Linked DNA regions of Rattus norvegicus. The protein of the gene in region 2 purifies or fractionates together with the protein of the main gene of each other region. This does not show direct contact. Links are inferred from orthologs where the notes say so. Each region holds a gene or a part of one and is shown on either strand. Other genes may lie near its edges.

Evidence for each region.
Region 1: the proteins of Fam174a (region 2) and Slc39a11 purify together in Homo sapiens (co-immunoprecipitation; 3 studies listed by BioGRID and IntAct, counting the BioPlex papers as one, with this or other methods). This does not show direct contact. The link is inferred for Rattus norvegicus from reciprocal best matches to the Homo sapiens genes FAM174A and SLC39A11.

The regions. Positions count from the first base shown.
Region 1 is NC_086028.1:99,068,953-99,072,471, forward strand, and holds part of Slc39a11 (zinc transporter ZIP11), read right to left. Parts: intron 3,345-3,519; coding exon 3,186-3,344; intron 1-3,185. UniProt on the Homo sapiens protein: Zinc importer that regulates cytosolic zinc concentrations either via zinc influx from the extracellular compartment or efflux from intracellular organelles such as Golgi apparatus. May transport copper ions as well.
Region 2 is NC_086027.1:103,189,046-103,193,077, reverse strand, and holds the start of Fam174a (membrane protein FAM174A precursor), read right to left. Parts: upstream 2,816-4,032; 5' UTR 2,753-2,815; coding exon 2,319-2,752; intron 1-2,318.

The DNA of each region.
Region 1 (3,519 bases), on a different chromosome or scaffold from region 2:
CTCTCGGTCTTTGTAGATGCGCATGAAGAGTGTTAGCGGTGGAGAACATCCACAAAGGACAGAGATACGTGCAAGCACCCCTCTGGTGGTCAAAGTTTGCCTCTCGCAACATGTCACTTCAGACATCAATCACAGGTAGTTCCTCGAAGCAGCTCCTGCCCTCCAAAAACTGTCCCCAGCACGAGCGTGCTGTGCGTGACTGTCCCACATAGTGGTGTTTTTATAACGAGACAGATCTCCTGGCCGACACAAGGAGACCTGATAGACACTGGAGACATAACAGAACCAGGGAGGAAGCTGGTGCCCTCTACTCCCACTCAGAGCGTGCTCAGGCTGGGACATACAGTTTCACACGCAGGAGAGCCACAGAGAGCCACAAGCACCTGCTGCTTCCTCTTCCCACTCCAGCCTCTCCTGCAGTCTCTTTAAGATGTCAGACGCCCAAAGGGAAATGGGAAGAGGGGGAGAACACACTGTGGGTGATGGAAAACAAGATTCCATTCCCAGGCACGCACGGGCATACATGGGAAGGCCAGCCAGCCAATACCAAGGGCTTTCTGGCTTCCTGCCTCCCCCTGCTCTTCCAGGACCACTGACTGCCCGCTCTGACTCTGCGGTAAGGCTCAATGGATTAAAAACTGAAGAGGACTCAAGTTAAACGCACCTGCACCCCCCCCCCAATCTCCCCACAGCCTCAAAAGCCATTGGCTCCCAAGTTCCGGGAGCAGTAGGCTTCCAGGGAATCAAGTCTCGCTGACCCAGAAGGTCCATACCCTGCCCGTGCTCAGTCGATATGGGATAACCACAGGGATTCCGTCATCAAAAACCATTAATTGGCACTCCACGTGGCACCTGTGGAAGGGCCAAGTTGCAGCCCTTTTCAGGTCTGGGAAGCAAATTAACAGAGACACGGGAGGGAAACCTTTAGCCCGTCTCCAAGTGCAGGGCAGCAGGCTACTTCTGCGCACGACTCTGCAGACATTCGCATTCAGAAGCTAGAGTGATCAGAAACAAAGCCTGCCTATTTGTGAGACCTTCTGAGACGCGTCCCCATTCTCCCATTAAGAGTAGCAATTAATTTCTGCTCCAGTGTTCCAGGTCAGATGTTTACTGAATCTTCTGCCAACGAGTGAGGTCTGGGCACCGAAGGTTAGGGCGCCTCTTTCTCAGCCCTTCCGAAACCCCACCCCACAGCCTTTAGCGTCCACTCCGCAATCATTTCTGACTTTCTGTATTATCTACCCAGAGCTTGCCCCGAAGCATCTCTGTATCTAAAGCACAGATTAATTAAAACAAACACAAGCCAAAGATTAACAATAACAACAAAGAAAGCACGCAGCACGCAGCACGATACAAAGTAGCCAATGAGTATTTACACTGCCCAGAGAAATCCCCTCTGCTCACGCAGCTGGTCAAATACACCTGCCGCCAAGCCTGGTCCCCTCACCATTCCCCCCCTCTCCCAGGTCCCAGTAAGGCTGGCCAATCACGACTGGAGGGCCCTGAATGAGAGACTGGCTTAGGAGCCCAGGTGGCCCTAGTAAGCAAGCAGAATGGGAGGCAAGCAAGGGCAGTGTAGAGCCACTGAGGCGGCCACTTCAAACCACTGCTCAGCAGTGTGGGCCCCTCTGGCCATGACTTTCCTTCCCGTATGAGTGGGAAATCTCCCAAAGAGAAGTTGACACACGGCCAGACAGTTCTAAGAATCCTCAGCTCCCCGTGATGGTTTCTAAAAGCCACCAGCACATACAGTTAGATCTGACAGCAAAGAAACCAAAGGTCCAGGGGGCAAAAACAGACTCTGCCATTCAAGCTTCCAGAGGAAAGACAGCAGCTGACAGATGGTGGTTCCTTAGGAAACTATCGCCAGTCGGCCGTGCGGCCGTCGCATCCGACTAGGTCCAGGGGATGTGTTCGAGTACGTGTGCCCTGCAAGTGATAAGTCTTGTGGCAGCCCCAGGCCCAGCGATCTAGATCAACCTTCCCTCTCTCGAGCTGGTCATTTAAGGTGAGACAGGAGGAAAGGCTCAGACATGGATGCACTGGCCTGAAGTCCCAGCGTTTGGGAGTTGAAGCAGGAAGACTGTGAGTTCAGGGCTAGCCTGGGTTACATAGAAAGGAAGGAAGAAAGGAGGCAAAAGGAAATAGGGAAGGAGGGAGGGAAGAAGACAGACAGGGAGAGAGGAGGGAAGGGCAAGAGAATATATAAGGGAGGGGATACAGGAGAAGCAGAGGGAGAGAATACACACAAGGGCGGTTCCACTGTGTACTGGAGCACATTCCCGACTCCATCTAACAGAAAAACAATCTCACTTTTCTCACATACCCCTCCCCTTTCTGGGTGAGCAGTGAAGCCAGGCACCAACCTGGAGGTCCTTCCATCTAGGTATGTGAGCAGGTATGTGGTACGGGGACCTGACACACATCCCACCCTGTGAATGACATCAACCCTTATCTGCTCTGCCAATAGCATGTGCTGTGGTAACAAGAGTTTACTAAAGGCTTCTTCTGGCTGCCGACACACAGCCTGGCCTTGGCTCTCTGCTTGGCCAAGCAGTTCAAGTCAGAAAGGGATGCTCAAACCAAGCCCAAACCACCTGCCTGGTTCCCACCCGGAAGCTCGATAGCTCTGGTTCTCCCCAACACTGATGTTTTTTGTTACGGTTCACATCTTACAGTCTCCGGATGGTAGGGAGGGGAAACCTGGAGCTCAGAGAACACGTGGCCATAAATGTCAGAGGTGAACTCCGACCTCTCAGACTCCCCCTCCACCTGCCACTTCCTGTTAACCTGGGTGTATGTGAGGAACTTGTAAAGGTCTTTCTATCTTTGGCTGTGTTGTTATTTCCCTGATGACTCTGTCAGCTCTCAAGCTCTCCTAGAACCATGAGCCTAAGCCTCTCCCCCCCTCCCCCGTTCCGGTTGCTCACGTAAATGTACGTGAGCACTCCACAATGGCTACCATTTACACATCTGACATTCAAAATCTGAACTCAGCAAGGAGTGAACAGCGAGGAATTAGTCATGCTAACAGGCGGCTGGGTGCTTTCTTGATGGAAGGAATCACCATTCACTCCTTCTAACAACCTGTCTGTTTAGACTCCACCAACCACCTGAGGTAGGAATGGATCCAGCAAGGCAAGCAGAGAGAAATCTGCTTCCCGGAGTGGGACAACGATACTCACCAGGTGGGGCATCAGGAGGTCAGCCAGGTAGACAAAAGCAGCTCCCAGGGTGAAGCCTACGGCCACTGGGAAGAAGGCGAAGGCACCAAAGCCCCCTGAGGAGGTGGCCATCTCAACCGCTGGTGCAAGCAGCGACCAATAGGAAGCTGCTAACATGACCTGGAGAAACCACAGGGAGAAGCTAGTCATTAACCAACCATAAGGCTTTGAGGGGGTAGGGGAATAACCCATACCACTCCCACCACCCCCCCCCCCGAGGAGAAAGACCAGCCCATAAGGCTTTCTGAGGAGGGAGTCCTCCACCTTCCAAGAGGTGGAAAAACCAATCCATAAG
Region 2 (4,032 bases):
TTATATGAAGTTTAATTTGCTCCTACGGTACTCCAGCGATGTATTCAAGTTCCTCTACAGAAAGAATGTCACTGCTTGGAGTAATTCTATACTGCCAAAATAAGTTATTTCTACCCAAGTATTTGTGATGCTGAGTTAGATTAAGACAAAACATTTTCAAAGTCTCGTAGAGTTTGACATAATAAAATTTCCCAATGAAAATAATCAGTTTGTCCCCACGTCATCGGTTATGGAAATGGTTCGGGAACGGACTCCTCGACACAAATAAGCCTCTCTGGTTCTCTGTCACACATATTTTGGGAAAGGCGCCAGAGTGAGCAACCACCATAATGAGGATAAAAAGCACAATCTGGAAGGAAAGAGGAAGAGTTCTGGATATACCCAGATTTAGTCAGCATCAACTAAGCTTTGGATGTTAGACAGCCAACTAAATGTAGAACTTGAAGTACACCAACGGGTTAGACGCTGCCTGAAGTATGCAGTTTTTATCAGCAACAGTGCTAAATCTGGCTCTCTCTTCTCATACCACAGGATACGGAATCATCCGAGAATCAGAAAAGGGTGAGTCCTTTCAAGATGTACTGAAAGGAACACAGAGAGGTGATAGCAGTGACCATTTTTACAGAAGATGCCAAGTAAGGGAGGACAAAATAAAAACACAAGAACAAGCAGCACGTCAAGGAAATGGTCAGTATAGCCATGCTTTCTATAAAGGATAACATGGTCCTGACAGGAATTATGCACAGTATTAAATAAAAACTACATAGTAAAAATGATTTAATTCTCCGCTAAGATTTCTTAAGTCTCACTTTGGTGGTCGTAAGCTTTTAATAACTTCTGAATACTAACTTCCCAGTGACAAAGTGACAAGTTTTCTGAACTTTGTAAATCAACAGTTTCTAGCTCAATGACACTGTTTATGTGAGGCGCTCTTAAGTGCTTTAAATTCCTTTCCATTCTTAAAACTTATTAAAGAATTCGGGAGGCTATGTAGATTCTGACCTGATCTGAACAAAGAAAACACTTGATTTAAAAACCTTAACCCTTAAGTTAGCTGTTCTTAAAACCAAAAATAGTGAAAAGAATGACTTTTTTTGTCTTCAAAAATCTATTTAACATTTGGCCTAAACCATGTATAAAAAATAAAAAAATGGGAAAAAGGAAAAGATACCATAGACTGTAAAATTTTTGTCTGCATCCAATCATTTGTAATATTTGGTTAATGGATATAAAGAAAATCCACCAGCAAGAACGTATCACCTTGGCAAAGAAGGGATCAATTTAATACACAATTTTTGATTGTTCTTTAAGAAGATATACAACACTAACTAGACAGGGCGGACTTCCTTGCTATCAGTTTCAATGTAGAATTTCAAACCTTACCAGTAAAGTGTTTGTATTTTATACACTTGTAAGATAATGTATTATTTGGAAAACAAATGTAAAACTGTAGCTAATGAAGATGTGTAAAAGGAACAAATTCTGTAAGATTCTTTGAGACAAGTCATGTTGGTTTTCCATTCACAAACACCTTTTAAAAACACTAAATTCTGTTTTGGGGATTTAAAGACATATTAACTAATGCAGTGTGTAGTTATGGGGAAAGTGTGAAGTAATTTGGAAAACAGGAAATAAATAAACCAGTACAAATCTCACAAAATACCATCTGTTCTTACTTTAGGGAAAGGAAAAACCATTAGCTTTTCCACAGCTGTTCTCTTGGCTACCCCCTTCTGGTGGGGTCTTCTCTATTTGATACCTCTCCAGAGATGTAGTACCCAATAAACTGAGTACAAGTTACTTAGGGATAGATCAAGGGCTCCATCTAAGAAACACAACTGGTAAGTTTTGCAGAAGTGAAAGGTCCGTTAGGTCTTTCTGCTTTTACTTTCGTGGTACCCTGACTGACAAATAGGACTGCATTCTAACAGGCGACAGCACTGACAGGTGAGTTACACCAAGTGCAGAGTAGTATGTAAAGTATCGCACAGCAGTGTTGTCAAAATTTCAGGGGATGGGAGAGCACTTCCACTTCGGGGTATATTAAGGCAGAGGCAAGTCTCAGAGAGCAAGATGCTGAAGGTAGGTTACTGAATTACAGATGAAAGGCAACAGCTGGTGTCACCTGCTAAGGTAGCACAGGCCATTAAGACAGCCAACCAGAAGGTCCTAGATTCCAGCCCCTGACGCTGGGGACTGGGGACCAGAGAAGGGGGTGAGTGAAGCCCAGGTTACAAACATTCTCCCTGCTTCACACAGCAGGCCTCCTGTCAGCCAGCTCTAGGCCTCAGGGGATGCCCATCGAGGCTATGCCTCACCTGACGGTCCTGACCACGAAGTACACCAGCACCGCGGCGCTCACCACCACCAACACGGTCAGGGCCCTTTGGGTCATGGGCTTGTCGCTAGGATTGGGACTCACGGCCAGGCTGCCACCCAGAGAGCTTTCTCCGGCCTTCCCTTCAGGACCGTCCGCCTCGGACGCCGCCCCGGGAATGCTGCCATTGCGGCTCTCCGCGCCTCGCGGCCCGGCGCCTTCAGACTGAGCTTGGCCTCGCGGCTGGGCCGCGGTGGGTCCGGGAGGCAGCGGCGACAACGTACGCGGCCCGGGTTCGAGAGGCTTGGACTCCTGCACCGCCCTGGGCACAGTCGACGGTAGCACCACGGACTGGTTCAGCGCGGGCAGCAACAGCAGCACGAAAGCCGAGGCCAGGAAGTGGCAAGGCCCGGAGCAGCCGCGCCGGGTCGGCATGGTCTCCACGCCGGCCTCTCAGCACGCCGCAGCCGCCGGGCCGGCCTCCCGGTCCGCAGCGCCGACCATGGGCGCGCCGGAACCGCAGAGCCCACTCTCCGGCGGAGAGCAGGTGGCTGAGACTGCGCCGGGCGGCTTCGGCGGCGGCGGCAGCGGCGGCCTGCGGGGACAACCGGAAGTTCGTACATCTCCGCAGCCACTGCTGCTACGGACGCCTCCGGTTGCTAATATGTAGGGGCGGGCCGCGCTCAGTGACGTCAGGGTGTTCGAGCCTATTGCGCACGCGTGGCTGTGGGACCCTCAGCCGGGCGGTCTATTCCAGGCTTTCCATTCTTCATGAGTCTTCCTATTAGTGAGACAGCTAGGCTGGAATGGGTCACCTGAACAAGACGAAAGAATGTGGGGAAACGTGAGCGATACCAAACTCGCTTTAATTTCCTTGATGCCGAACTTCCAAACTGCACCTAATCAGTAAACACTAGCTCTCTCTTACAAACTTTAAAGAGAGCTTTTCCTAGCTTTAAGGGTTCCGACTTTCCTTGGAATCTTTTACTTTAGAAAATGTAGAGTTATTTATTCCGATTCTCCTCCTTTAAAATGTAAATATTTGTAAAATAAAACCCTCTTGTCGGTTTCCAGGGACCTACAGTCATTCTTTTGAAATATGTCCCTATTTACTAGTTTCTGCTTATGGGGTGCCTTAAGCTGCAAAACTATCCCAGGACTTAATAGAAGACCGAAAGTTTGCATATTAACTTAGCAAACACATAAGGCTGTATTTTCAGAACTTGAGATCAAAGTTTTGTACTCTTACATTTGAATAAAGTTGTCTTTATCTACGATTTCCATCAAGTAACACTGACACAAAGCAGACACCTGCTTGGGGCACTGGGAAAGGGATTGAATATAAATATGCTTAGTTTTTTTCTTGAGCTTTCTTTCAGTTTTATAATAGACAGAATTTTAGCTTTCTCAAACATCTGTCAAGAGTCAGTTACTTAAGACTGGAACTATAATATAGTCCATGTCCTGGTAGCTCTCAGGATCACTCTGAAGACCCGCAGTAGCTACTGAGGACTTATGAAAGTATTCAGTGTGGATTCTTTCTCTTGCCCTCACCCTCCTGTGTCTTGTTTTGTGACCTTAGGACACAGGTTAATTGAGAGTGAAGTCATCATGACTTGAAATACTATTTCCTTTTGGACAAGAGCCATTAGAAAGTGAAAAATCTTTCATGTCCTTAAAAAAAAAAAATCACAGCTGAAGACATGTTCTAGAGA